Regions from separate parts of the Mus musculus genome. Here regions 2, 3, 4 and 5 are each reported to be linked to region 1. The links are microRNA targets in miRTarBase. Many come from high-throughput screens and were not tested one by one. Region 1 holds a microRNA gene; each other region holds the end of a gene's coding sequence.
What was found. The annotated mature microRNA mmu-miR-376c-3p reads AACAUAGAGGAAAUUUCACGU and lies in region 1 at 3,651-3,671, shown strand. An mRNA with a match to its seed (bases 2 to 7 or 8) in the 3' UTR can be bound and repressed. Matches are read on the target gene's strand: a 7mer-m8 pairs with bases 2 to 8, a 7mer-A1 pairs with bases 2 to 7 and ends in A, and an 8mer does both.

Region 1 (6,338 bases):
AAACCACCAATTCCTTCTGGAGACATGTGTCTAGATGTCAGCTGCAGGTGTCTTTACCAAGATATGTCAGTTGGTGAGTGTCACATAACACTATGACTCTAGAAAAGCCTGGGCCCCAGATCAGCTCTTTACCAGCATCCTGCCATGTCTACGGGCTGTGCTCTTTGATGCCATTAGCAAGGCCTTGAGGACTGGTGGGTGCTGGCTACGATTGGGACCAGGGAACAGCAAGCTGTCATCAGCCACTGCTGCCTGTCTCTTATCTCTGATACTGGTACCCCTGCCCTCTGGAGTGGTAGATGTAAGGCGGCACTTCAGACCCCTTTTCCCTAGTGAACTTCTCTTTATGGCTAACATTCTCTGGTAGCCTCCTCATGGCATCAAAATTGCCTTTGAGTGTGGTTGTTTGAGCAGGGCCCTTTGGTGGCTCTCTTGTGAGAGTGGGAGGGAGGATACAATCCAGAGAGTATGAGAACACCTCATCCATCCATCTCCCCTGGAGGGTTTCCGAAGCTGAGCCAGTACAAGATATGGGATCACTCTTAGGCAACCCTTTGCTAGGATACTAGCTATTTCTTTCTTTGCTCAAGTTGGAATAAAAGCTTTGTTTATACTTACGTGGCTCAACAACCATAGCGCATCAAAACCCAGTGCAAACTCCATCTAAGAGGTACCAGGATTAGCCACACACTTAGCTCTTAGTTTCTACTGGCTCAGTGATGCCCTTGGGCTGTGGCTGTACCTGTGTTTTGGCTTCTGCCTATAAAAGATGGAAACACCTTTGGAAAAGCAGCAACTCTCCCTTTATACCCATGGAGAAAGGCTAAGGGGCATGGAACAAGCATGGTCAACCCATTTTCTTAGGTTGAAAATCCCTTTCCATCTAGTGGGTACTGGCCTCGGTGCTGGTGGAGCAGTGAGCACGCCATACATTATATCTGTGACACCTGCCACCCAGCCCAAGGCCCCTAGGCCCACAAACTTCTGGAGGGGAGTTTGTCTTGGATTCATCCAAGGAATGCAAAGGACACCTGGACAGAAATGCCTCTGGTGGTCATCCCAAGGTAACCGGACTTGTTCAGTTCCATTTCACATTTAGCTTTGTGCTTTATTGGCAGGCTTCTAAGGGCTGCTATTCACCCCTACATCCCAGGTACGTATAGGCCCAGAGGGAGCCTTCCATCTTTGAGGGTAGAATATTCTCTGGGCACAATACCTCACCAGCTGTCTTTTTCACAGGAGAAGCCTGGGCAGGATTGCCGCAGCTGTTCCAAGAGGCCCCAAGGGACAGTGTCCACATCATGGTGTTTGTTCGTGGAAGATATTAAACGCTGACCTCTTTTTGAGCACAAAATCCCTCCTTGAAGGGCTCTCTGTACCCGGTGTCAGGTTCAGGAACACGATGTGGGCATCAGCCCCTTGCTGATGGTATGTGAGCAGATGTCTGGCCAGATGGCAAGTGCTTTTGTTTATTTATTTTCTTATTTTGAGACTTGAGAGTTTATTGAATGAATCATCCTATAATCCAATTTCCCAAGGCAAATCTGTACATAAAAATCTAGTTTCTATCACATCGCTTCCTTCTTAATTGATTGACAGATTTGAGCAAAAACATGTCTAGCCTGCATTTCAGATTTTGAGAATTTTAAAGAATATACTCTGCCCTTCCCAGGTTCGCCTGGATCTAACCAAACGGACAAGCTCAAATATCAAATGAAAAATGATGAGAGCAAGATGAAGGTGGGAATCTCTATGAATATGTGGCACCCATATTGATTTTTTTGTATAACTCATTTAATATAACAATTTTCGATAACATTTTTTTTGTAGCAAGTTTTCATTGTAACCCAGGATACCTTTGAATTTCTTAGGTAGCTGAGGCTGACTTTGAACTCCTGCTTGCCTCTGCCTTCCAAACGCTGGCATCAAAGGTATGTTACCATAACCAGCTCAAAACTGTTGCTCTTGCAGAGGACCATAGTTCAGTTCCCAGCACCTAGACTGGATGGCTACAAGTTTAGCTTTAGGGATGTATTCTTCTTGCCTCCTTGGGTGTGCCCACATGCATACACATGCACGCATGGATAGTGAGACTACAGAAGGCAACAGACCTTGATCTCCTACCTCTACACATAGGCAAAGCAAGCATACTGGCACCACCACACGCGCGCGCACACACACACACACACACACACACACACACACACACACACACACATGAACCTAAACGTAGCTGGACATTGTTCCTAAAGAGCAGACCCAGTTCACACACAGCTACATTTGCCGTTGCTGCTCCTAGGGTCAGGACAGATGAACACATTTGCTCCCGTAACCAGCTATCAGATCCCCTAACGAATTCTGTCCTGCTTCTTTCTAGGGTCTCCTGGCCTCATAGGGCACTATGAAAGGAAGCAGGTGTAGCCCACTGGTAAGTGACCTATCCATGCACTTGAAGGTGTTTGTGAGGTTTTCTGCTTTAACAAGCTGTAGATACAAGGAGGGGCCTTGGCTCTTTGGGGCGAGGCCTCAGCATCCTTGGGTCCTCTTGTCTTTGGTTACCCAGCTTTATGAAACTCTCTGGCCAGTTCCTACTTTATTAAAACATGACCCATGACAGCACCACTATTTGGACATATATGGGAGGGCTGGTCACAGAGCATATGTTCTATGTGTGGGGACTATCACCTGGCCTACTTGTCTTCGGCCTCAAGGCTAAGATGACGAAGATGTTGGAGTTAATTAGCTGAGTTGGGGTTTTCAGTCCTTCTTTGCTTTTTTTTTTTTTTTTTTTTTTAACCAAAGATTTATAGTGTCGGTACTGGTATGCCTCTGTGTCTGATGTACTCAAAAAAGATTGGACAGGAACTTGAGCTAATCTTGTAAGGACCTGGTAGTGTGGTGATAGTAAGTCATGAATGTCCTGCTTAGCCATGTCTCAAGGTGTCTTTTATACCTATCCCCAACAGTGTCACACTAATGCATTGAGCCTGTGTGTTGGAGCCTTCTGGACTTAGCCCATTTCCTAGAAAACTTCCTTGATGTCTCCAGTGCTCCGTGGCACCTACGTGGATGCCCCAGCAGCCACCTTGATGACATCTCTCCCAAGGGTACCCAGGATGGGCTGTATGGGTGTGGAACTGGTTTTGGAAATCACAAGGGAACAGATTTCTTGTCATAAACTCTCTAAGAGGGGGTGGGGGTTTACAGTAACTCCCTACTAGGCTGTGTGACAACCAGGGCTATGTTTAACTGTACGGTGGGCTCTAGATACACTTCTGTCGCTCACTTTCTGATATTCAAAAGGTGAGTGCTCCTCTATGCCTCTGGTTAATCATAGAGGTAACACCCACATTTTCAGTATCTCAAGTGGTTCTGGGATGTTTCTGAATACAAAGTGCCCCCTAGGACAAAGCAGGTTATTCCAGTCTTCCCCCACCCAGAGAACAAAGGGAGAGATGGGTTCCACAGCCTGTGCTTTCCACAGCCAGGTTGTTCCTGGAATCTGTGTCCTCTGGGGGCTGTGCCGAGGGCGCCTGTCTGCTGCCTTCTTCATTTCTGACGGATTAGGCCTCGGCTCTTTCTCTTCAGGACTAAATCTTTTGGTATTTAAAAGGTGGATATTCCTTCTATGTTTATGCTTTTTGTGATTAAACATAGAGGAAATTTCACGTTTTCAGTGTCAAATGCTGCTGGGTAATGGGCCTGAGCTGAAGCCACCACCAGGGCAGTGACAGGACAGGTGCACCCTCTTGGGTAAGTGGGGGGTCAGTGGTCCACAGAGCATGTCCTCAGGTGCCCAAGGGCCAATGAGCAATCTTGAGAGCTTCCCTCATGGGCTGCCAACTCAGCCAGAGGTCAGGGGTCTCGTTCTGGAATCCCCCACAGCTAACAAGTCTTTCCCATTGTGTCCCTTCTGTCGCAGATAGGACTGTCCTATTGGATGTCCCAAGAGTTTAAGTCTGATATCTAAAAGGTAGATTTCCCTTCTGTGGTTTTATGTTTGCTGGTCAATCTGATGGGTTTGCCTGAGTTTTGAGTCTCATGTGCTTCCTGGGTGACATGATCCACCAGGGAGATGAGGCTGGGCGCAGTGCCCTCCTCGGTAAGTGGGAAGATGGTAAGCTGCAGAACATGTGTGTTTCTCATGTCATATGTCTGCTGACCATCACCTTTGGGTCTCTGCCTGTGGAGCCAGCTTGGCACAGAGGCCGAGGCGCCTTTCAACATTCTGTTTCCTCTGCCTGAGAAGCGGGGATTTTTTTTTTTTTTTTTGTCTTGTAATCTGTTTCAGATGAGCCAAGCAGCAAGCCTGGTCCTTCCCGGAACTCAGTCCTTCTTTGGTATTTAAAAGGTGGATATTCCTTCTATGGTTACGTGCTTCCTGGATAATCATAGAGGAACATCCACTTTTTCAGTATCAAATGTCGCTCTGGAACTATTTCTGGAAGATTCTGTAGGGTCTGGGGCTGGGGGGGAAGATCATGTAATAATGAGTGGGGCGTGGCCAGAAATGGCCTTAAGAAGCCAACTGAGTGTTAGTCTGATCTGGGTCTGATATACCGCCTCTTTGGGCAGCCTGCTCACTCTGCCCAGTGGACTTCCATTTCTGTCGACACAAGCACAAGCTCACAGCATCCTGGATCGAGTTGTTCTTTGATATTTAAAAGGTAGATTCTCCTTCTATGAGTACAATATTAATGACTAATCGTAGAGGAAAATCCACGTTTTCAGTATCAAATGCTGCTTGGGAAACCACCGAGGACATGACATCTTCACCGAAGAAAGCGTGCTATCCGTCGTCTTCCTGGGCTTGGCGGGGATAGATAGATTTGTGACTTGTGTGATGTGTGCCTATATGCCAGCCTCTCCCAGTGATGTGTTCTGAGACCACTGTGTTCTTTATATCCCTTCTCTGACCTCAAATGAAGTTGTTTCTCTGTGTGCTCACCATGTGTATGTTTTCTGGAGTCGGCTTCTTTTTTCTGTAGCGATATGTCTTGGAGAGCTCCTGGGTGGGCCATCATTTTGGGTAAGGGCGCCTTGGGTAACCCTTTGGGGGGTGTGCGGAGAAGGGGGGGCATGTGAATCATCTGGAAGTGTAACCTCCAAATGTGCCCCCTCAGGCTCACATCCGGACCGTCATCGCATCTGTCATCGCACCGGACCAGCTCTCCCCAGCGCTCCTTATCGTTTGCTACTTGAAGAGAGGTTATCCTTTGTGTGTTTGCTTTACGCGAAATGAATATGCAAGGGCAAGCTCTCTTCGAGGAGCAAATGCTGCCTGGAAGCATGGCTGGCGGCGGCCTGGGCCTAGCAGAAGGGTGTGGTCTCTCCAGGGTAAGTAAATGCATGGTGGGCCACCGAGCTTGAGCTCCTTCTTCGTCTGACCCTACAGATCTCACACATGCTTCTGAGAACTTTCTAGAAAAAAATGCTGATCCTAAGGGCTGTTCTTGGTAGAGCCTAGGAAACTGTGCCTCCCCTTCTGACAGCCCTTCGCAGTGTGGTGTGCATGCCAGGTCGTCTTCTAAGGCCAAAAGAGTGTCAGCAGCAAGCCAGTGCCCATTTAGATGTGGGTTTTCTGCCCACCATTGCCAACCTGTCCTTACAATCACCTTTAAGGCTTCCCATCCACTTAAGGGAAAGGGGGTTGGTGGATATCCAAAGTAAAGATGCTCCCAGAGGCTACCAAGACCATTAAGCCTCCTTCTCCAGGTGTCCTCTTCACCTTGTGTGTCACAGCATGAATTTATGTTAAGGTTGTCTAAAGAACCTTGGTTCTGGGGGTCGGGTGGAGGTGGGGCATCTCACCTCCCTCCGGTGAGCCTTGCATGGGTCTGATGTTTATAGTGATAAGTCTCCCATAGTCCTCTGAACTCCCCAAGAAGGGCAGAAGGAAGGTCCAGAGGTCTCCATACTGCTCCAGTTTGGGGAAGAGGGTGGGGGCTTTCAGAGAGCTAGTTTTCCGGTTTTTCTTCTTTCTTGAATGATGCATGTTGCTGTGCGTACTAATCCTGCTCTTTCGATGACCATCTGGAGGACTTCCTGGAGGCTGCAGCTGTGGGCACAGGTGGAGGCTTTCTTGCCAGGGTGGCTTTGCAGGCTCTGGAATGCCAATCATTCTCTGTCACTTTTTTGTTAAGTTACACAGAATCCCCACCCCCACCCCACCCCATGCCCATCCTCCCATGCCCCACCCTAGTCTTTTGGAAGATCACCCTGTTTTGGAGTGATACTGAGAAGTAAACTAACTTTAGGGCTGGGTACCAGTGTGCAGAGTATGCAGCCAATTCCAGAGCCAGCCAGCTGAGGCTTGCTTCACCAGCCCCTGTGCTCAG
Region 2 (6,338 bases), not on the chromosome of region 1:
ACCAGACAGACTTTGAACTCCGAGATCTGCCTGCTTGTGATTTCTAGATGCTGGGATTAAAGATGTGCATCACATGCCCAGCTTGGAGTGTCTGTTTTGTACGCAGGCAATTCTGGGTTTGATCTCACATGTGTGATCACACACACACACACACACACACACACACACACACACACACACACAATGTCCAAGGGGTGAAAATGGGAAGTGGTTGCAGTATCTTGATTGTGTCTGAGTTATCTAGAAAGCTGTCTTCTGTGAACAGTCTCTTGAAAGAATGAGTTTCATGCACCCCATTGAGGTGGACTGTTTGGAGTACCTAGCTAGTTGAAAGGCATTATTAGTTCAGGGTTGAGCAGAACAGGTGCTTGGTAATGTTAGAGGTAAGGCCCCTTATAAGTGCCCTTCTATGAGCGTTCCAATTAGTGTCTGGTTATAGAACTTCCAAGGAGCTAAGGGTCTAGGTTGTGGAATCTCTTCCTTCATGTGGAAATGTGATTTTCTTCTGAAAACCAACTCATCTGTTTATATTAGTAGGTATGTCTAACAATTCCCTTATAGAATGTTAGAACATCTAAATTGCTAGGTTTCAATCTTCAGGTGCCTGGATAAAAATTGACATTTTCTTCCTCCTCCCACTCACAAGACAGGTCTCAGTTTGTAGTTCCAGCTGTCCTGGAACTCACTATAAAGGCTGGCTTCAAACTCACAGGAGAATCCACCTGCCTCTGCCTCCCAAGTCCTGGGATTAAAGGTGTGTGCCACTATGAGAGATGTGGAAATTCCACACATGGGAGTGCTCACTCTGATTAAAATTTAGCAACAATAGGATCAGTGGTTCATTTACAAAGACAAGTTTAAGGCAAGTGAGTGAACATACATGTGGCAGTAAAAGACTGTTTACAACCATGATGTTTAGGAATTGAATTACATTTACTTGACGAAAAAAATGCCCTAAACATGCTTATTAATAACATTTTATCAAGTGATATGAATTCACTCCTGAAAATTGACAGCCTAGAATATATCAAATTTGACCTAGTTAGCAATCAAAAAAGAAAAAGAATTGGGGGCAGAAGAGATTGTTCAATGGTTAAGAACCCTGGCTGCTGTTCCAGAGGACCTGAGTTTGCTTCCCAGCACCCACGTGGTGGCTCCTAGCTGTCTTTAACTCCAGTTCTAGAGAGTCCAATGCCCTCTTCTGGCATCTGTGGGCACGAGGCACATATGTGGTGCCCAGACAGGCAGACAAAAACTCATACACATAAAGAAGTATATTAACCTTTTTAAAAAAAAATGGAATTTTGACTGATATTTGTTATCTAATATCAGGAAAAGCAATATAAGTAGAGACACCAAACCACTAGAGCCTTGAAAAACCTCTACATATACAAAATTTCATATAATTTTTGAACACTTAATAACATACAAACAATTTAGTGCATATAAAACATTTTAAATGTTGGCACCCAATATTGGTAAACTTTCTAAGATTTATCTGTGTGTTTGCAAGTATTCTGTGAGTACCCGAGGAGCCCAGTAAGTGCTGAGATGACCTTGGAGTTAACCAATGAGAACGCTCGGAACTGAACTCTGGTCGCCTGCAAGTGCAGAGGCTCAACTTTAGTCTTTTTGTTTTTTATTTTTTGTTTTTGTTTGTTTTTTATTTCTTTTGACAAGGTACAGGTACATTCTCTCTGGGAAACCATAAAGCTACTTTGAGATGATATGGACTAAGTTTGTGTCCCATCCCTTGGGGTGCTTGTTGAGATCCTATCTGTCAAGACAGCATTAGGCCTTGGGCTTAGGAGAGGTTTGGTCCAGCTGTACCTGTGCCAAGTCCAGGCTTTGTAAGGTTCTGTTTTCTCCTTCAGTAGCTTTTCACCAGAGCATGCTGTAGTGGCTCTTTGGCCTAGACAGACGGAAGCCATGATTTACTTAGTGTAGGGAAGAGTTAAGGCAGAAAGCCCAAAGACTGTCCTGTCTGTTTCAAGTTGCTTTGGTTTTGTGCTCACCAGGGAGATAGTACAACCTCTTAAGGACCTTGAATTTATAAACTTGTCTGTCTCTGAGTACAGGGATTAAAGGAATATGCCTCCACACTCCACAAGATATTCTTGTCCGCTTCTCTGTACAGGTATTTCCTATTCAGTGCCAATGGCACTTGAAACTTTGACCCTAAATTGTAGGATTCTCAGAGCAAGCCTTAATTAAACACACAAACTTCTTGTGTATTTGTAGCAATGTACATATGATAATCATCGGCAACTTGTAGGGGTCAGTTTCTCTTCTACCATGTTGGTCCTAGGGATCAAAGTTAGATAATCTATCAGTCTTATATCTTGCTGGCCTAGAGTGAGATTTTAAAGGTAACCTCTGGTGTAGATGTTTTTGTTCTCTGGGGTAGTGGATGGTACAAAGCTACTCTTTCCAGTTTAAAGGGGAAATGTGTCCTTTGACACATTATACTAGTTAGGAATGTTTGCTCACCTGGCCATACTACATAATTTTAATGTGATTTATGGCTAGGCTTGACCCAATTTGTAGTCTTAATTGTGTGTGCAGGTGGGGAACCACATCAGAAAGATCTTTTTCTTAACCGCTGAGCCATTTCTCCAGCCCCAGAAAAATCGTCATGTGGAGTTTTGGGGGTCATGCAGTACCAGCTGACCTAGACTGAGATAAATCATAACAGCAGTTGGTTGTGCCCGTTATTTAGGTGGTGGCTCCTGGCTGCCGATGTTCCGTATACTGTCACGCTTTGGTGCCAGGAATGTATCCTGGCTCCAGGTGACAGATAACACAATTGGTGAGTAAAGACACCCAAACTTGCCTTCTCTAGAGGAGGAACCTCCAAAAGCCAACTGGTGATAGAGAGCTGCAAGGCAGGCAGCTCCAGACGAGCCACAGCCGTACAAGGAGCCCGTGTCTAAAACCATGAAGATGAAGCCGTCCAGCTTTCTCCACTCACCAGTTCTCCCAGTCTCTCGGCTGGTGCTGAGGATTCTGAGCTGGACATTGCTTAGGTTTTCGTTGCTTTGTTGCTTTTACAATTGAGCTTTTCCACCACTTTTCTACCACTTCAGTCACCCACCCATCCGTTTTTCAGTTCTCCCCTATTTTAGCTGTTGTTGTTTCCCATCTCGTCCAATTGGTGGGTTTGTGGTGTTTTGATGGCTGTGGGCCTGCATCACTCAGATGGCTTTTCCAAAGAATCCATTTTGAAGAATCTGATGAGTTGGCTGCTAGCATTCAGCTACCGCACCGTAACATACACTGAGGCATCTGTGCCAAGGCCATAAACCTCAAGCTGTTCCTAGACACTGACTATGAGAGGCAGGGACACTAAACCAGGCTGTCCTTCAAACTGACATGCTAAAAAAAATAAAATAAAATAAAAAAATAAAATCTTTGCCTGATAACTTTGTGCTTGCAATGACTGTTACAGAGTTGTGAGTTAGGAAAGCAGAGTGGAGAGTGAAGGCAAGAAAGCCTCCCACAAATGTTACAAAACGATCAGAAACCTACTGCCAAAGAAGATGGCTGGAAACCCCAAGAAGCAAACTAAATCCCTCCGCTGTCCTAGTCCAGAGGCTCATTATAATACCAAAACACACCCCTGGGCGGAGACTTCAGATACTTCTTAGACATGCAACGCATGTACTTATAAGAACTCCACCAGAGCACCCTTAAAATAAGGTTAAACAAAAACGTCCATGCTATAAATGAGCCCTAAGTCCTGAGCGAGCTGGCATGAAGACCCAGCTCTGTACAGTGGAGCCTTTGAGCACTAGACGCCCAGTGTTCCCGCTTCCTTCCTTCCTTCCTTTTCTAGCAATGGTTGTCTCTGCTGTGATCCACGCTCCTCTGCACCCCAGGCTTTCCCAGATCCCTTTCTCCCTGTCCGACTGTGGGAGTGTGGAGTCTGTAACACCTGCTCCTGCTGACACCCATTACTTATGTCTACTGCCATAACAAAGTGTACAACCATCTCATTTTGTCTTGGCAGCTGCTTCTTTGAGGACCCAGAATTTTGGGAAGAGGTAATATTCGATGTTCATTCGATGTCTTAATATGTAGACGTGGTTAAATTTAGTCTTTCAAAGATTACAGATTTCAAGTTTCATTAAACTATGGGAGAATAACTACTTCCAACACAGTATCTAAGAGAGTGTTTACTGTTTTGATTTAATCAAACGTAAAATATTCCATCAAATTACCCAGGAAAATCCAGGTAGCAGAAATATATAACATATCCATTTCTTCACAAGGTCTCAAATCTGTTTTACAAGGCCATATATATATGTATATGTACTATGCCATTTAAACCACTTCCACTTTCTATACTGAAGAACTCCAGTATAGAAATAAGCTTCGTGGTGTTGAGGTAACATTGGGACACTCCCCCAACATGACTGCATAGGTGTTTAAGGTTAAATGTGAACATGATGTGAGGTCTCCAGTCAGTCAATCCCATTAGAATCGCCGGTTAAAAGCAGCATATTTGACAAGTGCCCAAGGAGATAACTTCACTGAACCCATGTGTGTGTGTGTATGTGTGTGTGAGAGAGAGACAGAGAGAGAGAGAGAGAGAGAGAGACATAGAGAGTGTGAGTGTGTGAGTGTGTGTATAAGGAGATGGGTAGATTCAAGGAAGACTGACTGAAGGCATACTGATAGCTGTTAGCCATCTGCAGTTGTTGGCAAGACAGAAACATATACAGTCTTCATATTCAAAGTCTTCATTGGGATATCTTCTGTAATTTCTAGAAGAGAGAAAAATTTCAAAAAGTCAATATTCTATATGAGTAAACATATAAAAAAATGTTAACTGCCTATCTTGAGGCCCATTCTAAGGCCACTTTGACTTCTGTCCTAGCTTTTAGTGGGGAATCTCTCAACTCTTGGCACGTCCTGATAGGTTTGTCTTTGTTGCTTACAGTACGGCTTTGATTACATATTATCTTATGTTAGTGAGGTGACTGAGGGCAGGGAGCTGCGAAGTGTGTGGACTGGTTGGTAACCTTTGAGACACAGACCAACCATGCAGGCATTGAATTAATTGAGCCTACGTATTAATCCTCAACAAAGTTCTGGGTCCCAAGTTGCACCAAACTTCCCTGGGAGGTAATACCTGGTGACTACACTCTCGGGGATGGGAGGAGGCAACAGCGGCCATTCCTCCACGAGGAAAGGATGGCTTGAATTCCTAGTGACCTCCCATTTTGCCTTCACAGCTCGTCCTCTGGTTAGCTCTGGTTGGTATAATAACCAGTTTGTGAGTATGGTGCCTGTTAGTGAGTCTGTGAATATGAGGGTGGATTGAGGAAATGCCTGAGGTTATGTTGGCATTAGAAGTGGTGATGGCAGCACACAGACACCGCCCCCCATGCCCGCATCATACATATAATAAACCTAGGCATAGCATAGTCAGACTGCAGAGCACCAGAGACAAGGGGAAACCCTGAAAGAAGCAAAAGTAAGAAAGAGGGATCAGCCTGAAATAGAGAGGCATTGAGAAACATGTCAACTCTTGTTCACGATCTTTGGGTGTTCTGTGGGAAATGCATGCAGCATGCTTAGACTGAAAAGAGATGGGATCAGCTGGACTATCAGCTAAACGTTTCTAATCAGAGTTGACTCTTGAAGAGACTGCTTTTAAATTTAAAATCATTAAATATAGTACTTTACCTAGAAGTGTAAATGTTCAGGTTATTTCTAAAGAAATGAAATCTTATCCCCACTTTAATTTGCTAGGCAGGCGCTCTACGCTCAGCGACACTTCTCTGTTAGGTTACTGTTATTTTTAACTACATTATGGTTAACTTCTGAAGAAACTGCAAAAATGAACAAAACAAGACAAATACTCAAAACTTTTTCCCCACCTACTGGCACCACTGACACCTTTCAGAGACCGTCACGGCCGCCTCACCTTGTGTTTGAGTCTCATTCAGGAACAGCCTTAGCCTCCTGCTCCTCAGTCCGAACACCTTGGCTGCTTCATGCACAAGCCCTTGGTGGGTGAGGCCGTTCTGTCCGAGTGGGTTTTCAAGCAGGAGGGTGCCCACAGTTCCTGTTAAACACTCTAGGGAAAAAGGAAGAAAGTGGGTTATTCCCAAGGACTCATGTTCCAACACCAGCAGCGACTGTAGACAGCACCAAACGGCAATGAGGAAGGTTGTGAAGTGGGTGCAGGAGCTTAAGCTGGAGGCACAGGATGTACAGAGGTAATCTTAAAACAGTTCATAGAGGTGAGGAAGAGGGGGACGGAGAGAAACTGACACATGGCAGCCAGCTGCTGGGGAATCGATCTTCAGTGCACACTCAGGTGAAGAGAC
Region 3 (6,338 bases), not on the chromosome of region 1:
AGATAAAATACGGGACTGAAGAGATGGTTAAGAGCACTGGTTGCTCTTCCAGAGGTTCTGAGTTCAATTCCCAGCAACCACATGGTGGCTCACAACCATCTGTAATGGGATCTGAATGCCCTCTTTGGTGTGTCTGAGGACAGCTACAGTGTACTCACATATAATAAGTCTTAAAAATAATAATAATAATAAAATATGGTGCTTATCCTTGAAAAACTCATTATTAAGCCAGAAAGATTGACAAATACCATGTGAGCTTTTGTAAGTGGACCAGTAAAAAAGATGCAATTGGTCTTCTTAAGCTTGACTGGCCTAGAACTAATAATTCTTTATTCCAATGGCTGAGGGATGATGATGATGATGTTGATGATGGTGATGATGTTCTGCGTGCATGTATGCCTGCACACCAGAAGAGAGTGCCCCAGATCTCATTATAGATGGTTATGGCGCCATGTGGTTGCTGGGAATTGAACTCAGGACCTCTGGAAAACAGCCAGTGGAAATGTTCTCAACTGCCGAGCCATCTCTCTAGCCTATTGGTTTTTTTCTATTCTTACCTCTGATGTGGCTCAGTGAGTCAGGATTTCAACAAAAGAAAATTTGAACAGTCCCTGTTGTGTTTCTGGATAGGAAGGCTACCTGTAGTAAGCTGTGTAGCCCGGCTGATGTGTGCAAAGCCCAGCTAGGAGTGCACATAATTAGGAGAGAATTGGATACAGAGTATCAGGATGCAACTGCCAAGTAGACGTAACTTCTGTAAATTAGTATGGGCACAGCTGTAAGCCTGAGGAAGATAACTAAGCTCGCTTACAGATGATTGATTGAGCTGTTGACTAGCTCAACTAGACAATATGGGCACAGATGTCATCAGTGCGTGGCAGTTCATTCTCCTCTGGTTTCGAGTGTTCCTTCCTCCAGCCCAAGTCTTTTAGTAAAACTGACATTTGCACTGCTGCTGCTTTACCTCAGCTTGGAGAGTCTAAAGGGAGACCTCAGTCCCTTCCTCGTCTCTCTGATCCCAGTGTTTTTGAAACGTACTTGAGTAAGGAAAGTATCCATACTTAACATAGTTCCAAGTAGGTCGGCCTTACGTGGTTTCCTTTTGCCCTTTTGCAGGGAGTAGGACCTTCATCCTGGACCTAAGTGGATTATCTTTCTGTTAGCCACATTGGATAATTCTACAGCGTAATGGAATTACTTTAAATAATCATGTCAATTACTGCCTTCTCACTGTTGATTTACTGAGCACTTCAGTTACTAAGGCATTTTAATGAAAACTATTAGTCCTATTTTCTGGTATGTTCTGTTACCCACTTCAAAACCACCTCTCTTGTGCAGGTACACTCCCTGCAGTTACCGAGGAATGGAGGAGAGACTACCTCACGGCAGCATGTCACGGCTGACGGATCATTCCAGGCACAGTAGTTCTCATCGGCTCAACGAGCAGTCCCGACACAGCAGCATCCGAGACCTCAGTAACAACCCCATGACTCACATTACACATGGCACCAGCATGAACCGTGTTATTGAGGAGGATGGAACCAGTGCTTAGTCTTGTCTAAGGTGAAATGTGTGCTGTTGAAAAGCAGGTTTTAGTTTTTGCCTTCGCATGGCTGGCTGCTGTAACTCACTGTCGCTCTGCTTTCTTGGGCAGAGTGTGCCCACTGGGAAAGTAGATCTTTGCTCTTTGTATCACATCAACCCTGGGGTGTGAACACATCCCAAACCCTAAGGATCATGTCATCACAAAAGTAATTCTTTCTAGGCTGTGAAGAGATGATTGTCTGGTGAGCATTTTTATAAACATGCTTATTTTATATCTAGAAAAATCCTCTATGTGTGGTGACTGCTTTGTAGTGAATTTTCATATAATATGAACTAGTTGTGAAATGACATTCTGGTAGCTCTGTTAATAAAACAAAGTTTCAGAATTAAAGAAAATTTCTATGCAAGGTTTATTTCTCAGATGAATACTAGGTCTTTGTAGGTTTATTTCCACAGAGTGAAAAAAGGAACCGTTTTTAAACTGTAGAAGACTTTGATAAGCCAGCAAGAGTATTTTAGCTAAGATAACAGTGCCATGGAAGATCTGGTTGGCCTGTGGGAGGTTGTCTCAAAGTCTGTCAGTCTTCCCCCAAGATATGCAGGCTGTGGATGAGCACTGGAGTAGAGGCAGAGATGAGCATTCCCCTGTAATTGGATTGGGTTTTGTTTTGTAAATATTACTTTTATGGGCTATGCTTTTATAATATCCATATGCATGATAGAAACATTTTAATTTGTGGCCATTTTTCCCAGGAAATAGTAGACAACTTCATGTTCATATATGTTCTGTGGAGGCATGCAGTAAAATAAGCATCACACATTATAAGGGGTTTTAGTGGTAAAAAAAAAAGTTACAAATGGCAAAATATTTTCTGTGTATTCATTGTCGTATTTTTCTACAGTGAGATGTGATCTTGCCAAAGCCATTAGACCTTGGTACCCAGGCCCTCCTATAATGAGCTGATTGTCTGCCCCAGATTCCCCAGTAGCCAGTTGGCTACAGCTTTTGCCCACATCCCTATTTTCTGAATTACTCTGGTTTACAGCTGAAATATATACTCTTAAGTCCAAAATGGTGATCGACCTGGGTTCTTGAAAATCATTTTAACTAAGTGGAGCATGGTTACTCTTTCTGTGAATATCGTTTAATCTTAAAAATATCAAGTAAAAACCTCTTGACATTTTATTTTGTAAAGCTTAAATGATTTAGGTTATGAACTGTGAACTTTATTTGTATGAAATTGATCAGAAAGAAAAATTCTTGAAAATGCTAATATGTGATTCAGAAAATATAAGTGATCCTCAGCCCTGATTGCGGGTACAGATCACTCTGGAACTCTCAGTAGCCAACATCTTTCTGTCAGGTCTGAGTTGATGCTTTAAAAACAACCAGCTTTTCAGGTGATTGTTAGTGTAGCCCGGCTTGAAGCTGTTCTTTTAAGCTCACTTTCCCCTAAAGATAGGTTGATGGCATCAGATTTGACCACAGGAAGATGGAGCCAGACTCAGTAGTACACTTACATTGTTTCCTGATATGCAGTTGCTTCTTACTCTGCTCTAATCCACTATAAAATGCAGAATTCTCGGCTCTCCTCTCTAGAGAGTCTTACTCAATAAATCAAAGGCAGTAGGATTTCACAAATGTGTATTTCTAAAAATACCACAGAAGAGTCTTAGCAGGTTATCCAAGAATCACACCCAGAAAAAAAATATATATATATATACCCTAGACTCTGGAGAGGTCTGGCTTTGCCATATGCTAGTTTTCAACTTTGAACAAGTCAGCCTCCGTGAGCCTAGCTCCTCTTGTTTAAAGATGAAGATTGAAGATGAATATCTCCTCTACCTACCTCACAAAGTTGTCAAATTGAGATCAAATGAAAACAACAGTCTGGAAGCTCTTTGAAACTGAAGTGTTGTGAAATGTGCAGGATTAAGATTCTTGAGGACTAAAGAGCTTTATTGGAGGTCTACTGTAGTACATTTCTAGACACATGTTTAATTCGTGTGTCTGCTTCTCTCGCCCTTTAAAACTAGGAGTGCCCACATGACAGAAGAGCCAGTTTCCTGGTAGCCATGACTTACTTCTGTCATGTTGCTTCTCCGAAGTATGCATCAGTAGAGATTACCCATTCTTCATAAGACACATGTGAGCATTTGGCCCCACATGCTTTCTCTTTCCTCTGTCTTGCCAGCTTTCTCCTTGGAACTGGGGTTACCACTTGGAGAGGCCCAAAGTCCCTTATAACTGATAACTTGTCTATAAACAGATCAATAACTCATGAAGCTTCTGTCAGAGAAGCTCCGGGAACAGCATGAGCAAACCAAAACAAACATCCACAAACCAAACAGCAGTGAAGAGAGGAGACCAGTGTGAGCTCAAAGATGTCATCTGCCACCATCTGCATCACTGCCTATTGCCAAGTGCTAGTTGGTTGTCTTTTAAAGTGGGCCAAGTGTAGACAGTGAAGAGAGCATTGCCATGAAAGTCTCACCTTTGTGCTTCCAGAGTTTGTGTGTGTTGTTGCATTTCCTCTTGCTTTGGTAGTGGTGATGCGTATATGGATAATGTTAACCTTACAGTCACCTTCACCAAGTACCATCCTTCACTTGTTCTGTGCACTCAGCACAGTACTGTTTGGTTTAAGTAGCTGTTCAATTTGGGCCATGCTCTTTATCATGTTACTGCGCCAGGTTTTAAGAATCTTTTTTTTTTTTTTTTTTTTTGAAGAAACCATTGAAGAATGACAGCAGAACAGTTAATTCCAAATCTTAACCTGTTTAACTTGTCTTGAACAAGTCTGGACAGTTTTCTTACCATATAGGTTACTTTAATTTCTGTTGTGATTGGCATATGTTAATACTTAGTGTTTTCTTTGTTCAATTGACAACCAAGAAAATGATAGTGCCCTCTAAAATGTTAATATTATTAAAAGGGTTTTGAAAAGAACTTTGATTTTAGCAATATGGTTTTATTCAATAATTAGGCAAAAAGATCCAAGGCAGTATTAAGCTCAAAACAGTAATTTGTTTCAGAGAGCAGTTGATGAATAACAATTAGCACAGGGCTTAGTACAGAGTAAGCTTTCCAGTAAATGTTTAGCGACTAGCTAACTACATGGCACTCAGACCATGAGAATTGTTTTTATACACACACACCCCCATTGTGAATTTGTTAAAAATCTGTGTAAAGTAAGAATCTTTTCAGTTTCACACAAAAAAGATGCAAGAGATAGGAGGTTTATAGAACCTAGGTTCATAAGTAAACTCAGGATTCGTTTAAGCTTCTTTTATGCCTTTTTGTGACAGCTAGGATGAGAAAAGCTTGGGATTGCAGAAACAGGTCAGTGGGTAAGTGGACCTGCTGCTCTTCCAAAGGACCCAAGTTCAGTTCCTCCCTCCCTTGTGCTCACAGTGCCTACTGTAGCTCCAGCTCTGGGGATCTAACATTCCCTTCTGGCCTCCTGACACCAACACACTTGTAACACACACACATAAATACAAAATATGAAAAATGTTCATTTAATTCAACTATGTATAATGTATATACATTTACATAAATTTGATTACTGTATATGGAAATGCATTGGCATTTGTACATCTCTTCTGGCTTTCCTTCCTTTTCATTTTTTGTTGTTACAGCCACATGAGTACTGGGACAGGCATAGGAAGAGTAGGCATGCCTCCCCATGCGCTAGACTACAATTGCTTTCTCTAATCTAATTCTAATCCTATTTATCTTTAGTAATTATACTGATACAGAATAATGCTTATCTTTCAAGATCCAAATCTGAGAGAGAAAAAACAATATTAAAAGTCTGTTCAGACCGCCATTTTAGTAGACATAGGAGTTTAGTTAACTTATAGTCAGCACATAGTAGTAAGTATGTTTATCCCTGTGTTCTCTAACTAGGAAGTCTGGCTTTAAAGGTTTTTTAAAGTTTCCTCTAATATTTTGATCAAAGGTCGAGGGAGTACAAAATGCATTAAGTTCAATATATTTAACTATGTTGAATGATAAGTTATATTTACCTTTTTACCTAAATAGTCACCAGAAACCTATCTTGCCCTTTTCGGGGATTTTTGGGGGGATGGTAGAATTGTTTATAATTGACTCTAGTTTTATTAGCACCACTTCCCATAGTTAAAAATGTTTTCTACTGTCTAATAATTCAAAAGTTTAAAATTTGCCAGGGGTAGTGACACACATCTTAGCACTCCGGAGGCCGAGGCAGGAGAATCTCTTGTGAGGTCATCCTGATCTTCATAGTGAGTTCCAGGGCAGTTAGGACTATATAGAAGACCTTGTCTCAAAAAAGAAATAAAGATTAAGAAATCTTAAGGTAAAGATAATTAAAAATTAGTAATTTTTATTTATAAATATTCAGTGTTCTATTATTCTACTCATTACCACTATCGAATTAGTACTTTTGACTTTTTCGAGCTTGTTATATTTCTTAAAGCAGATAAGTGTATTATTTTATTAGTAGTATTATGGCCTTAAGCTTTTTGGTATATAATCGGGCTTGCTCAAATTTGCAGACTTTTAGATGATTCTTTGTTTTTGCTACCTGGCTTTTTAAAATTTAGAACTCAATGGCTTTGTTTTGGCAAGGTTTTAGTTAATAACTAGTAAGAATGCATTGTGTTATTTTAAAAAATATCCAAGGATTTTTGAGTCAGGAAAGCTGATATCTAGTTTTGCCTCTCCTTTCAGTGAGCTCTGTTAACCCGATAGAGCATTTTTGTTTGCAGTTGAAAGGAATTCAGGAATTAGATTAGGAGTCTCAGAT
Region 4 (6,338 bases), not on the chromosome of region 1:
GAGACCTGATTCGTAGCAGTTTCTCTACTCTGAAATATCTTCGCTTTATCCATATGTCTTAGTTTGGGTTTTATTGCTGCTGTGAAAAGACACCATAACCAAAGCAACTCTTAGAAAGACAACATTTAATTGGGGCTGGCTTACAGTTTCAGATGTTTAGTCAATTATCATCCTAGCCAACAGCATGCAGGCAGACATGGTGCTGGAGAAGGAGCCAAGAGTTCTATATCTTGATCCAAAGGTAGCCAGAATACTGTCTTTCGGGCAGCGAGGAGGAGGGTGTCAAAGCCCACTCCCACAATGATGTACTTCTTCCAACAAGGCCACACCTACTCCAACAAAGCCACACCTCCTAATAGGCCAAGCATATCCAAACCACCACACTATATAACCTCCCACATCAACTACCAGGATTACTTCCATTTTTTTCTTAATATCATTATTTAATGCTTCACAGTTAACTAAAAGTATGTAAATTGTTATGCTTTACCATAATGTTTTGTTTTGTTTTGATCTGCAGGCTGCAGAGAGAACTCAATTGAAGAGTATTTGCCTACCATGTATGAAAAACCTGGGTTATGTCCTCAAAACCATAAAAAATAAAATCCTTAATAACCCAAAGTCTAGTGGTAAAAATAAACAAAATGTGTTAAGATAGGAATGACTTTCCTCCATTATATAATCTTTATTGAATTAGTTGCCCCCTAAAAGAAATAATATTGCAAACATATTTTTTGTTTAATAGGAAGATTCTTTTTCAGGTTTACTTTAATAATAGGGTTTCTTTTATATATATATCCTAACACAAAAGGAAGAAAATGCTAACATTTTCATTAACTATTGAAAGAAAATTAACTACAGATAAATATCTTGCAGATCTTAATATCTCATTGTTTATTTAATTTTGAAATTGAAAACATTTTCCATTGTGAGACCCCTGGCTGGCTTATTTACAGATATACTTACTTAGAAGTTTAAGGAACCCAGAATAGTTAGTTCAGTCTTGAAACATAACCAGAATTGGAAGATTTATATGTCCTAATTCCACAACTCACTACAATGCTACAGTAATGAAGACTATGTGGTAATAGAATTATGAGGCCTAGCATATACTCTAATATTCTTGGTCAGTTGTTTTTGGAAGAATAAAGACCATTGACTGTGGTGAAGACAACACAAGCTACCAAGACAGCTGCATATTGATATCCAAAGAATGAAATTACACCCTTACTTTATAACTGTTCACAAAGTAAGAGTTAAAACTTTAAAACTTTTTAAAAATTTTTTTTCAAAACATTTAGAAGAAAACACAAGAGTGAATCTTCTTGACCATGGTTTGACAGTAGTTTCTCAGATAATACACCAAAAAAGGAAACCGGAAGGTTGGACTTCATTAAAATTTGGTATTTGTTGTGCTTCAGAGAAAGGCCAGGTGTGGTGGCAAATACCCAGAATCTCAGAACCTGGGAGGCAGAGACAGAAGGATCTTTGCAAGTTCCAGGCCAGCCTGAGCTACATAGTGAAATCCTGGTGCAAAACTAAACCAAGACAATGACAAGAAGAAAAACAGGATGGAAGAAATGTTTGCATAAGAGAATTGTATGTAGAACACCCAAAGAACTCTTAATGAATCCGTGAAATGAAATCTTTATATGGGCAAGGGTCTGAATAGAACTTTCTCCAAAAATATGTCACTGGTGACTTGAAAAGATGCTCAAAAAACATTGGTTATTAGAGAAATGCAAATCAAATTCATCATCGAATGCTACTTCATACATACTAGGACAGATCTAATGAAATACAAGAAGCATTGCTAAAGATGAGAGGCTGGAAGCATTAGACATTGCTGGTGGGAACAGAAGATGGTACAGCCACCTGGAGAAATAGTTCCCAAGAGACCCAACAATTCTCTATTCTCAGTGTGAGTATGCCCAAGATAAAACATGTCCACGCAATAACTTACATATAAATTTTCATGAAGCAGCATTATTCATACTAGCCCCACCCAAATGCATGGATAAATAATAATACAATACCCTACACAGAATGTTAATAACAAAAAAGGAGGATGTACTTCTCCAACACATGGACTTTAAAAACACTATGATAAGTACAAGAAACAAGTCATAAACTACTATATATTCTAAGATTCCATTTGTGTGGAGAAATGCCCAGAATGGAAAAAAAATCCACACACAAATAGAAAATGGATGACGAGTAATCTAGAGCTGTGGTGGCTGATGGCCCATTGTTAGAGGATTCTCTTGGGGGTGATAAGAATAGTCTAAAGTTACTTGTAGTGATGATTGTTCAAGTTTGAATATACTATATTGAATTACACACCTTAAATGAATTAGGACTGTTTATGTGAAGTTAATGAAACTATTAGAAAACAAATTTATGGCATGATTTTTTAATTTGATGACTATTTACCCATGCCTTGTACCATTTGGGTTTTTTTCTCCCTGATCAGTATTCTTAAGTTATTGCCATTTTTCTCTAACAATTACTCAGTGTGGTGAGAAAGGTAACTCAATTTTCCAAATAAAGGTCTGCTGTCAGGAATATTATCCAAAATGAATTTGTACATATGTAGTCATACCAGGAATATTGTTGTACATTGCCACACATACACACACACCTGTGGAACTCCAAAATACTAGGTAGGAAATTTGATGCTATTAAAATGTTGTTCTATTCACTGAGAAGAATGTGACATCCAAGATCATTTGATTGATGGATTGATTTTTGAGACAGTCTCACTACATAGCCTTGGCTGGTCTGGAGCTTGCTATGCAAACCTGGCCTTGAACTCACAGAGATCCACCTGTCTGTGTTTTCCCAGTGCTAGGATTAAAGATGGAAGATACCATGTCTGGCCATCCAAAGTTATTTTGGTGTGAATCCATGTAATCTCCTTTAATACCTGGAAATAGAAAATAGCTCAGAGAAAAGTACTAACCAAGGCTGTATTGTGTGTGTGTGAGGCCAAGACCTTGTCTCTGGGCAGTTCTCATTCTCAGCTTCTCCCCGCATGCCTTTTTGACCCTCACTCCAGTTAACAGCCTCTCCCAGAGAAGAGCCTCAAACCCAGCTTGAGCTACAGATGGAAATGAGCTAGAGACCAGTAGTCATTCTCTCAGGCTCCAAAGCTCCTGATTAAATGAGCTATTCCTGCCAGAGAATGACTACCGAAAGAAGTTTCAAATGTCATGTCTGAGTAAGCATGTTTGGGTGGGCAGGACGGGAGGAAGCCGCTCGGAGAGAAGGCTTTTGTGGTTTTATTTTTGTTTGTTGTTGTTGTATTTTGTTTTTCCTATTTACATGTTTGAATGGGAAACAAAAAGGAAAAGGAAAGGAACATGACTTGTCCTAGGTATGGTAGAGGAGAGAGTTTATGGTAGATATGTGGGAGAGCATAGCCAGAGGCAGGGGCATCCGGGAGAGAGTCCAGAATAGACATGAACACTCTAAGCTGGGCCTTGTGAGGAGAGGAGGGAGGAAAAGAGATAAGGGAGAACAGAGGAACCAGATGCAGCAACCAGGAGGCCCAAAGGTACAAAGAGAAAGGGTGACCAAAATAGTTGGATTATATAGGGAAGAAGCCCAACCCCCTGGGCTGAAGAGTTTCGGGGTAGGGGGCGGGGTATGCCAACTAGGAGGACCTGGTAGGGGCTGAGAGATGCTGGGAGAACCTTAACTAGGCACCTCTGCCATTTGCCCCAGGTTTGAAACCTACCAGTGTATGTGTATGTGTGCATGTTGGACAGAGGTTGACATCTGGTATCTTCCTCAATAGCTCTTCACTTTAGTTTTGAGACAGGGTCTGACCATGAACCTGGAGTGTACTGATTGGCAGACAAGCTCTAGGCATCATCCTGTCTCTGCCTGCCTCCTAGTCCTGGATTTGCAGGTGTGCCCCTCCATGCCTGGTCTTTTTTTCTTGAAACAGGGCCTTACTGTGTAGCCTTGGCTAGCTTGGAACTGCTATGTAGACCAGGCTGGCCCTGAACTCAGATCTGCTTGCCTCTGTCTTCCAAATACTAAGACTAATGGCATGTTCCACCATACCTGTCCATACCTAGCTTTTTACATGCATTCTAGAAATATAATCTCAAGTTCCTATGCTGTACAGCAAGCCCTTTACTGACAGATCATCTGTGTACAGTCCTCTATGATAGGAGTCCTAACCCCTTCCCCCAAAGCATGATCTCTTCCCAGTAGATAGAGATATGGTTTATCTCAGCTGTTTTCTAAGCCTGTTCAATTTCTGGGAAACTGTAGCCATGGATAAAGAAGGTGTGATGTATTCTAGTTATTTGGGCTTCCTCAGTTTAAGGGAAACCTCACTATCCACACACACATATAGCCTGCCCCTTGCATTCATCTCCAGGCAATCACAGAAGGACACATTGCCAAAAGGGCTGTAGAATGGAGTTTCTGCACAAGGAGCTCCACCCCTTCCAGGCAAAAGCAATTCCAGGGAGGGGGAAGCCTTGACTGGTTGGTTAGTTGGTTAGTTGGTTGGTTGGTTACTGGCTCCAGACTCGTGGGCCATACGCCAGGCTTCCTTCTGCTTTCTTCACACCTATGTACTTGTCACCAGGCCTCTATAGTGAGGATTTCATGCAAGTGTTCATGTGAGGCTTTGCCAAAGAGTACGCTCCTCTTCTGAATGTGCTAAGAGCCAAAAAGAATTTTCAAATTATCAGAGCTGCTTTGTGTTCCCCTGGGCCTGCACCTTTGACGGTGTCACTGAGACAAAGAGAAAAAGATGGGGAGCCAGAGCAGCAAATTACCCCTGCTATTTGGGTTTGTGTAAGAAAATTGGTTTGAGAGATACTTTCTTTGTTCTTATTTTCTTTGGCCCTGAGTTGAAGAAAAGCTTAAAAGCTTCTCTCTCTCTCTCTCTCTCTCTCTCTCTCTCTCTCTCTCTCCCTTTGAAATTTGAAACTATCTTTTAAAAAGTGAAATATTCTCTACCCAGATCTACATTGTAAAGTGCTTATAAGATATAGCCCCATTCATCCCAGTGGTATTTCAGGGTGCCCTCCCCCCAAAGCTCTCCCTGCAAGTGACAGAACTGAGCTGAAATAGACATCAGGCACACTTGCTGGCACACTCAAGCAGCTCCATCCGGATGGCAATTCGGACATGCCAGCCTAGAGGGATCAGTCGGATGAAGCGGGAAATGATGGGGGGCCTGAGTAAGTTCTGAACTGTAGAACTCCGGTCTGAGTTTCCATAGAAGACCTAAAGAGAAAGAGGAAGCCTAGTCATTATCACAATAGAGGAAGGAAAAGGACAAATGACTTCTGACTAGAGCTAGGTGTGTGTGTGTGTGTGTGTGTGTGTGTGTGTGTGTGTGTGTGTGTGTGTGTTTTCTCTCCTACCATGTGAGTTCTGGGCCTTGAACTCAGGATACCATGCTTGGTGGAAAGTATCTTTACCTGTTGAGCGCTATCTAACTTGATCTAGCCTCAATTTTGAACAATGGAAAAACATAGAAAGTATATTGAGTACAGAAAGCTTGCAGCACCCCATAAAACCCGAATGGATGTTGCAAGCAGCTCTGAGGATGTCTGAGTATGCATGGGGACATTGCACTATGCAAAATGGTAGCAAGTAGCCATGTGTGCCCAGTTAAATTTATGTGAAGTAATAGTAGCTGAAAATTTAGTTTACCTGTGTGTGTGTGTGTGTGTTTCTGTGTGTATGTGTGTGTTGCCATGTCCTCGTATGTGCTAAGCAACCAGTCTCCCACAGAACCACATGCCCAGCTCACATTTAAAGTTACTCATTAGCTGCTTTCCGTCCTCACAGATAGCCCTATTGGATGGTTGCTACAATATGCCTCTTGACTTTTCTTTCTTTTTTTTTTTTTAACAATTTTCCATTTCTATCCCTTGTACTTTGACAGAAAGTTTTGAATGGGGCCACAGCATACAAGAGAGTTCATATATCCCAAAGATATCCAAGATGCACTCAAGTCAAATCTTGTGCCTGGCTATGGAGTTGGAAGCCAACGCATAAATGTGTAATTTTTTTTTTTTTTTTGTCTTTGATACAAGTGACAAGTGCCTTTTGGGCCTGGAGAAAATAGATTTTAACAAACAGACAAAAAATAGAGGGAAAATTCTGGAAAGGAGAAGGTGGTGTTGACATAAAGAGATAAAAGGGTTTAATGTTTTTCAGGAGGCAACGTTAAGATGTTGCAGACACTTGACAGTAGTTCTGAAGAAATCACTCTTCGCACTCTTTCCAGGGTCACAGTGTTCTGCTCTGTGACATAAGAGCATTTCATTTCCTCCTCTAACTTTCTCCTAAAAATATTTAAT
Region 5 (6,338 bases), not on the chromosome of region 1:
ATGAATAAATCTTAAAAAAAAAAATAACTAAAGCCTAAGAGACTATTCTTCCCGAGTATCATCTTGCAAAAACTAAAATGAAAAAATCACCTGAAACCACATTTTGTCAATTTGTGCCTAATGGCATGGCAGCCACATCTCCATTCCACCCTGCTACTTTCTTTCCTTCTGACTTCTGGAGTGCTGGGCAGCTGCCATCTATGGCCACATGGAATGTACGCACGGTGGACATTTGTTGACTTGCTTGCTTTATTTCCCAACTGAAATTACCAACCCCAAACCACATGGACCACTGAGCCAATACTAACATCTCTGCAGTTTTCTCGATTAAGCAAGAATTGAACCCCAGGCAAGCCTATTTAATTTTGTGGGCCATATACAACAGAAACAGGGTTTCTGTAGGGTTTTGCCCACAATGAATATGATTTGGGCTAAAATGTTTTATTTTTGTGGTTAGTGGCATTGTATTTATTTTTGAAACACGATTCTACAGGTGTATTATTAACATGTGTAGTTTAGGCTCTGTGCTAAAAGCCACCCACAGTTATCCAAGTTACTTTGCCAGTTTTTGATTTTTGTTTTTAAAGGTTTGAGTACACATTGTTGTCCTCAGACACACCAGAAGAGGGCATCAGATCCCATTACAGATGGTTGTTAGCCACCATGTGGTTGCCTGTAATTGAACTCAGGACCTCTGGAAGAGCAGTCAGCGCTCTTAACCACTGAACTATCTTTCCAGCCCACTTTGCCATTTTTTTGTTGGCAGGATTTTACAATAAGAATAAAAATACCTTTTCTCCTGAAAAGTGATTTTATAGCTATTGCTTCAATAAAGGCATTGACTTTAAAAAAAAAAAAAGAAAATCTGAGCAGACAGTTGCTGAGACATTGGAGGCTGGGGACGGGGGCTGGGGGGAGTATTTGTGCAAAAAACATTAACTATTGTTTCTTCCTCAGAATTCCATCATCCCTGGTCCCCCTTTCCTCTTTGGAGCCTGTTCGGTACTGCTGGCTCTGCTCGTTGCCTTGTTTATTCCGGAACACACTAATTTAAGTTTAAGGTCCAGCAGTTGGAGGAAGCACTGTGGCAGTCACAGCCATCCTCACAGTACACAAGCGCCAGGAGAGGCCAAAGAACCTTTACTCCAGGACACGAATGTGTGACGGAAATCAGGAAGACTTCTCTCTCTCGCAGCACCCAGGTCTTAGTTTTCACCTGTAGCTCTGGATGTACATTCCATTTCCATCTGCAGTGTACTTTAAGACTGTCTTAAGAAATACTTGCATGAACTCCGTGGGAACTAAAGAAAGAACCGGACAGTTTTCCAAAGATGTTACACTTTCTTTCAAAAAGAAACCTTTTGTTTATATTAGCACCACTCTCTTGCCACTAAACTGTTTTATTACACATCTTTAATTAAAGCTCTATCTGTAACTCCGTCTCTGCCATTTCCTTAGGTGTTGAGCCTTTACCTGCTCGTGCTGACTCAGCGACACTAGGCAGGATGGTTATGGACCTGTTTGCTTTAACCTTGTAAAACCTGAGTCATTGTAAAATCTTGGGTCAAATAATTCAAAGCCTTAATGCAGATGCACTAGAAAAGAAATGGTAAAGAATTGTTTGCATTTAAAAGAACTTGTGAAAATTGTAGAAAACCAGAATCATGTTTCAAGCTTGTTTGCCATAATTTTATTTAAAGCATTATTCACGGCTGTTCTGAAGAATGAAAAGATCAGCCACTTAGAATTCAAATTGGGGTGGTCAGAGCCTAGCCATCTGGCTCAATCTGTTTAAATCTGTTCTGCTTCTTATACCACTATTCTTTTGATATTTGCATAATCATAAGGACCTCAACACTTGAATACATAATCTAAAAATTATATAGTAAAGCTGGTAGCCTTGAAAATGTCAATGTGATATCTATATGTAGATAAATATATATAGTGGCCTTTCAGGACTGTCACAGTAACACTTTATTTACAGAGCTAATGTTTGTCCTAAATTTTCAGGACCCTAGAAGAGAGCTTTATACAATTACTGATGTGAATTTCTCTAAAGTGTATATTTTTGTGTCCAGTTATATTATTTAAAAAAGTGTTACTTTGTAAAAATGTACATAAAGTATTGTATAGTTTACACTGTTTTCATCTTGTGTGTGGTTACTGCCTAATGCTTTTTAAACTTGGAGCATTCACTATGATTAAATAAGGTCTCAAATGTAAATATTCTGTTAATAAAATTAAATATTTTAATGATTTTTTTCTTTTTAAAAAGGTCTTGATCTGTGAGTCCCTCCCTGTAAGGCCGGTTTAGGCTTTGTTACAGTAACAAATCCTCTTACCTTAACTTACCTTCTGCAATCCATTTGCTGCCCTCACCTCACCTCACCAAAAACAAAACAAAAAGCCTGAAGATAAAAATAACGAAGTGTGTAGGTCAACCGGAAATGCTTGATTTCCTAAGCACAGTTAGTCTTTTATTTCCTAAACATGCTTCTTGCATATAAAACGCTCAAGCCTCAGTGCTTTATTGACAAAGGTCACAGCTTTCAGAAATAGCAAAAAGCAACATTCTGATGGTTAACACATGTACAGTTATACAACACAAAACAATTTCAGACAAAAGCAGAAGAGGTAGAGCAGAGAGTTGGCGCTATCTGTGTGTGTGGACACTTAGCACAGAGACAGGTCACCAACACCCTGCGTGGAAATGAGCTGTCCTATCGTGGAAACAGGTTTATAAATAGTAAGGGGAGGGTATCTCTTCTAAAAAGCTATATATGTCTTGTATCCCTTTCCAAAGGCTGCCATAGCTCTTAGGTTTATTCTATAGTATTTACAACAGTCCTGTGCTGCATAGAGAGACTTCTTTCCAGAATAAGTGCTTTCAAGTAGTTATAGCAATATTCTTCCCATCACTGAACTGTGATAACAGCCCTCGTTGAAGACAGCTAGCAATAGCCATCATCCTGAAAGTGAGGCTAAAGATTCTACGTCACTGTCTCAAAATGTCTGCAACAGTGTAAAGTACTTGAAAAAAAATGTGTATAAATGTTTTGCCTAGAAACCACATGCATGCCTGATGCACTCTGGGTGACAAAATTGTGAGCTGTCATGTGGGTGCTGGGATTAGAACCCACATCCTCTGAAAAGAGTAGCTAGTGCCGATCATCACTAAGCCATCTCTTCAGCCCCTTGAAACTTAAAATATCACATGATTGTTAACATTTTACAGATAAGATTTTTGGGGTCTTGGAATTTTAATTTCCTTTGGGTGGTTGTCAACAAGAAAACAAAATTAGACCTCTAAGATTATAGAGGGTTGTTTTTGGTTTTTTGTTTCATTTTGTTTTTTAAAACTACTTAATTTCAAAGGAATAGTTCTTGGAAGTTTTTAATAGTGAGGAAGTTGTAATTTCCAATAGTTAACTCTCCTCCTGCTTTATTAACACTGATGACAAATTTTAATATTATAAAAAGTCCCATGAACTTTTATGGTGTTATTACACTGATGATCTTTATGGAATGCCCAGATGACTAAAGCACTTCAGTCATGTAAATACACTGTCCCAATGATTTTTATATAAAAATTATTTCAGAGAAAATGATTTACTCACTATGAATACTTAATTTCACTCAAAATCCTTAAGAGTGTCACTAGGTACATCAACCAAACTCCAAATGCCCATACCCAGGACTTGACTAGCACAAGGTCGAATACACTGTTTTGGGTTTGATTTTTTTTTTGGGGGGGGGGAAGGGGGTTCGAGACAGGGTCTCTCTGTACAGCCCTGGCTGTCCTGGAACTCACTCTGTAGACCAGGCTGGCCTCCAACTCAGAAATCCGCCTGCCTCTGCCTCCCGAGTGCTGGGATTAAAGGCGTGCGCCACCACTGCCCGGCTGGTTTGATATTTTTATCTTACTGATTGGTTATTTTTATTTTCTTTTTTAAGGGAGAAAGAACATAAAATTGGGTGGGTAGGAAACTGGAGACCATCTGGGAGGAGAAATTATAAACCAAATATATTGTGTAACTCAGGCTTGGTGGGTACACAGCTTTAGTCCTAGGTCTTGGGACACAGAGGCAGGTGGATCTGGGTTTGAGGCCAGCCTGGTCTACATACATAGCCAGTTCCAGGACAGCTTGAACTACATAATAATAGACCCTGTCTCAAAAAAAAAAAAAAAAAAAAAACTTTGAAAGTTGTATGAGAACTGAATGTAAAGTCAATGTAAGGCTCAATGGTCACAGGTGGAAGCTCTCCCAGCTCTCAGGTGGCAGATTAAGATTTTTTTTTTTTTACAATAAAAATGATCGAATGAATCACAAGTCTTCAGTTTATATTCCCTGCAGGTGTATCTTGATAAAGTGTCCCTAAGCAGACCAACTGGTAAGAATCTGATACAATCCAGTGACTTTTTGAAACATTCTGTTTTGTTCACAGAAAAAAAAATACCATTTACTCAGCATCCTTATCAATTTCCTAAATTTGTAAATGGCAGCAGTATTATAAAGGATCCAAATGACCTAACAGGAACCAGAAAAAAATTGATTTTGTTATCAATAGTCTGTTAAATCACTTGAATTCCTAAACTGTCGGTGAGCAGTAAAAGGTGTTGGATTAACTACTTGGTAACTGCCCAGGGAAGTAGGCTGAAGACGAGGAGGGGAGAACGGTGGGTTTGGAAGATAGCTGGAACGCTCCCAGCATGCCGTCTTTCTGATGGTCTGCAAGAGACAAAGCACGTAGCATGTCACTGCTTTAAGCACATGTAATGATCCACACTGTACCACTCCACTCACTCAGTCACAGGTCTCCTCACCTGAGTCACTCAACAGATTCTGGCTAAGTCCGCGTAAAGGAATGCTAGCTTCTCTTCTCTTCAAGTATTTGGATTCCAATCCTAAAGTTTCACCACTTAAAAAAAATAATTTTCGTCTTAATTTTCACTTTATTGTTCATTTTCTCTGTTGAGTGTTCCTAGTTGACAAGAAATCAAAATGTTCTAAAATACCTTAGTACAACATTTTTTGACCACCTAAGTGATCATATGATGCCTGAACAACTCCATACCTGTGTCCTCCCTTGGTGAAGGTCAAACATCATACTAAAACTGGGACAAAGACTACAAGAAGAATAAATTCTATGAGTACTGTAAGATTATATATATCACAGCAAAGATGAGGAGATGAGAAAATACAAAAGAAAGCAAGTTATATACTGAGAATATTATCTTGAGTTTATTGGAGTCAATACAACATACCACAACATACCGTATTAGAACAAAGGCATACGTAACGTGACAGGAAAAATACATAACTGATTTGAGAGTACCATTAAAAAACTGCACGTATGTTTGTTTATTTTAACGTGTGTGGGTGTTTTGCCTGCATATATGTCTGCACATGGATGCCAGAAGATGAGTTACAGAGCTTGTGAGCAGCCATATGGGTGTGGAAATCCAACCCAGGTCCTCTGGAGGAGCACCACTGAACCATGTCTGCAGCCCTCTCTGAGACAGGGTCTCCCAGTGGAGCCTTGGCTTTTGTACTTACAGAAAACTACCTGTCTCTGCCACTTGAATGGTGGAATTAAAAGTGTGTGCCACCATGCCTAGCTTTAAAAGGGACTTCTATGTACCGATCCAAATACTTGTAAAAGCAGTCTTTACTTATAAGACAATCTTTTACTATATTATCTAGGGGGGCGGAGTCCTATAACTTAAAACCACATAAGAGAAATCACTTTTTCAAAGCTAAAAATCTAAATTTTCAACATAAAATATCTTAGATAAGCTGGGCTTGGTGGCGCACACCTTTAATCCCAGCACTTGAGGCAGAGCCAAGCAATTTCTCTTGAGTCTGAGGCCATCTTGGTCTACACACTGAGTTTCAAGACAGCCAGCGACACAGAGTCAGACCCGCTCTCAACAAGAATGGCAGTCATAGATAAATACAAGGCTTTCAAACACTGCCAGCATTTTCTAATGTGGCTTTTAAAGTGCTACAAAAATGCTGCAGCATCAACACTTGCAGTCCTTGAGAAGGAAGGCCTGCCTGGGTTGGGTTCCTAGCACTCACACGACAGCTTACAGTCCTCTAACTTCAGTTGCACGAGATCCTGCTATCCTCTTCTGACCTCTGTGGGAACCTGACAAATGTGTACACCTGTGTATACATACAGGCAAAACACTCAACACTGAAATCTTTCTTAAAAATGACTTTCAAAGAGGAGAACACTAAGCTGTTCTGTTGGTTGAGTACTTACTTTTCCTTATCATTTGAACAAGGCCTGTTAACAGCGGCTCCCGGCTGCCCATCTATCGAAGCGCTTGG

Region 2: miRTarBase lists Iars as a target of mmu-miR-376c-3p. Seed matches in the 3' UTR shown: 7mer-m8 at 4,600-4,606.
Region 3: miRTarBase lists Fzd3 as a target of mmu-miR-376c-3p. Seed matches in the 3' UTR shown: 7mer-m8 at 1,833-1,839 and 7mer-A1 at 5,077-5,083.
Region 4: the mRNA of Rs1 is a reported target of mmu-miR-376c-3p. Seed matches in the 3' UTR shown: 7mer-A1 at 2,764-2,770 and 7mer-A1 at 1,514-1,520.
Region 5: miRTarBase lists Sass6 as a target of mmu-miR-376c-3p. Seed matches in the 3' UTR shown: 7mer-A1 at 4,123-4,129.

What each region holds. Positions count from the first base shown.
Region 1 is chr12:109,719,120-109,725,457 of GRCm38, forward strand. Mir376c (microRNA 376c) reads left to right here and starts at 3,599; the gene lies at 3,599-3,684. Mir654 (microRNA 654) reads left to right here and starts at 4,099; the gene lies at 4,099-4,182. It overlaps Mir376b (microRNA 376b), which reads left to right and starts at 4,339; the gene lies at 4,339-4,420. It overlaps Mir376a (microRNA 376a), which reads left to right and starts at 4,662; the gene lies at 4,662-4,729. It also overlaps Mir300 and Mir667.
Region 2 is chr13:49,732,087-49,738,424 of GRCm38, reverse strand. It overlaps Iars (isoleucine-tRNA synthetase), which reads right to left. Exons shown (of 34, transcript NM_172015.3): 33 at 5,933-6,085; 34 at 4,158-4,766. The coding sequence ends at 4,684. Among named protein-coding and RNA genes, the nearest start is that of Gm23482, 21 kb to the right of the region's middle.
Region 3 is chr14:65,197,933-65,204,270 of GRCm38, reverse strand. It overlaps Fzd3 (frizzled class receptor 3), which reads left to right. Exons shown (of 7, transcript NM_021458.2): 7 at 1,339-6,338. The coding sequence ends at 1,552. Among named protein-coding and RNA genes, the nearest start is that of Gm30008, 26 kb to the right of the region's middle.
Region 4 is chrX:160,793,434-160,799,771 of GRCm38, reverse strand. Rs1 (retinoschisis (X-linked, juvenile) 1 (human)) reads right to left here. Exons shown (of 6, transcript NM_011302.3): 6 at 109-5,253. The coding sequence ends at 5,101. All of the region lies in intron 18 of Cdkl5 (cyclin-dependent kinase-like 5), which reads left to right. Among named protein-coding and RNA genes, the nearest start is that of Rs1, 29 kb to the right of the region's middle.
Region 5 is chr3:116,627,100-116,633,437 of GRCm38, reverse strand. Sass6 (SAS-6 centriolar assembly protein) reads right to left here. Exons shown (of 17, transcript NM_028349.3): 15 at 6,271-6,338; 16 at 4,826-4,920; 17 at 2,452-4,730. The coding sequence ends at 4,624. Mfsd14a (major facilitator superfamily domain containing 14A) reads left to right here. Exons shown (of 12, transcript NM_008246.2): 12 at 958-2,274. The coding sequence ends at 1,164. Among named protein-coding and RNA genes, the nearest start is that of Trmt13, 16 kb to the right of the region's middle.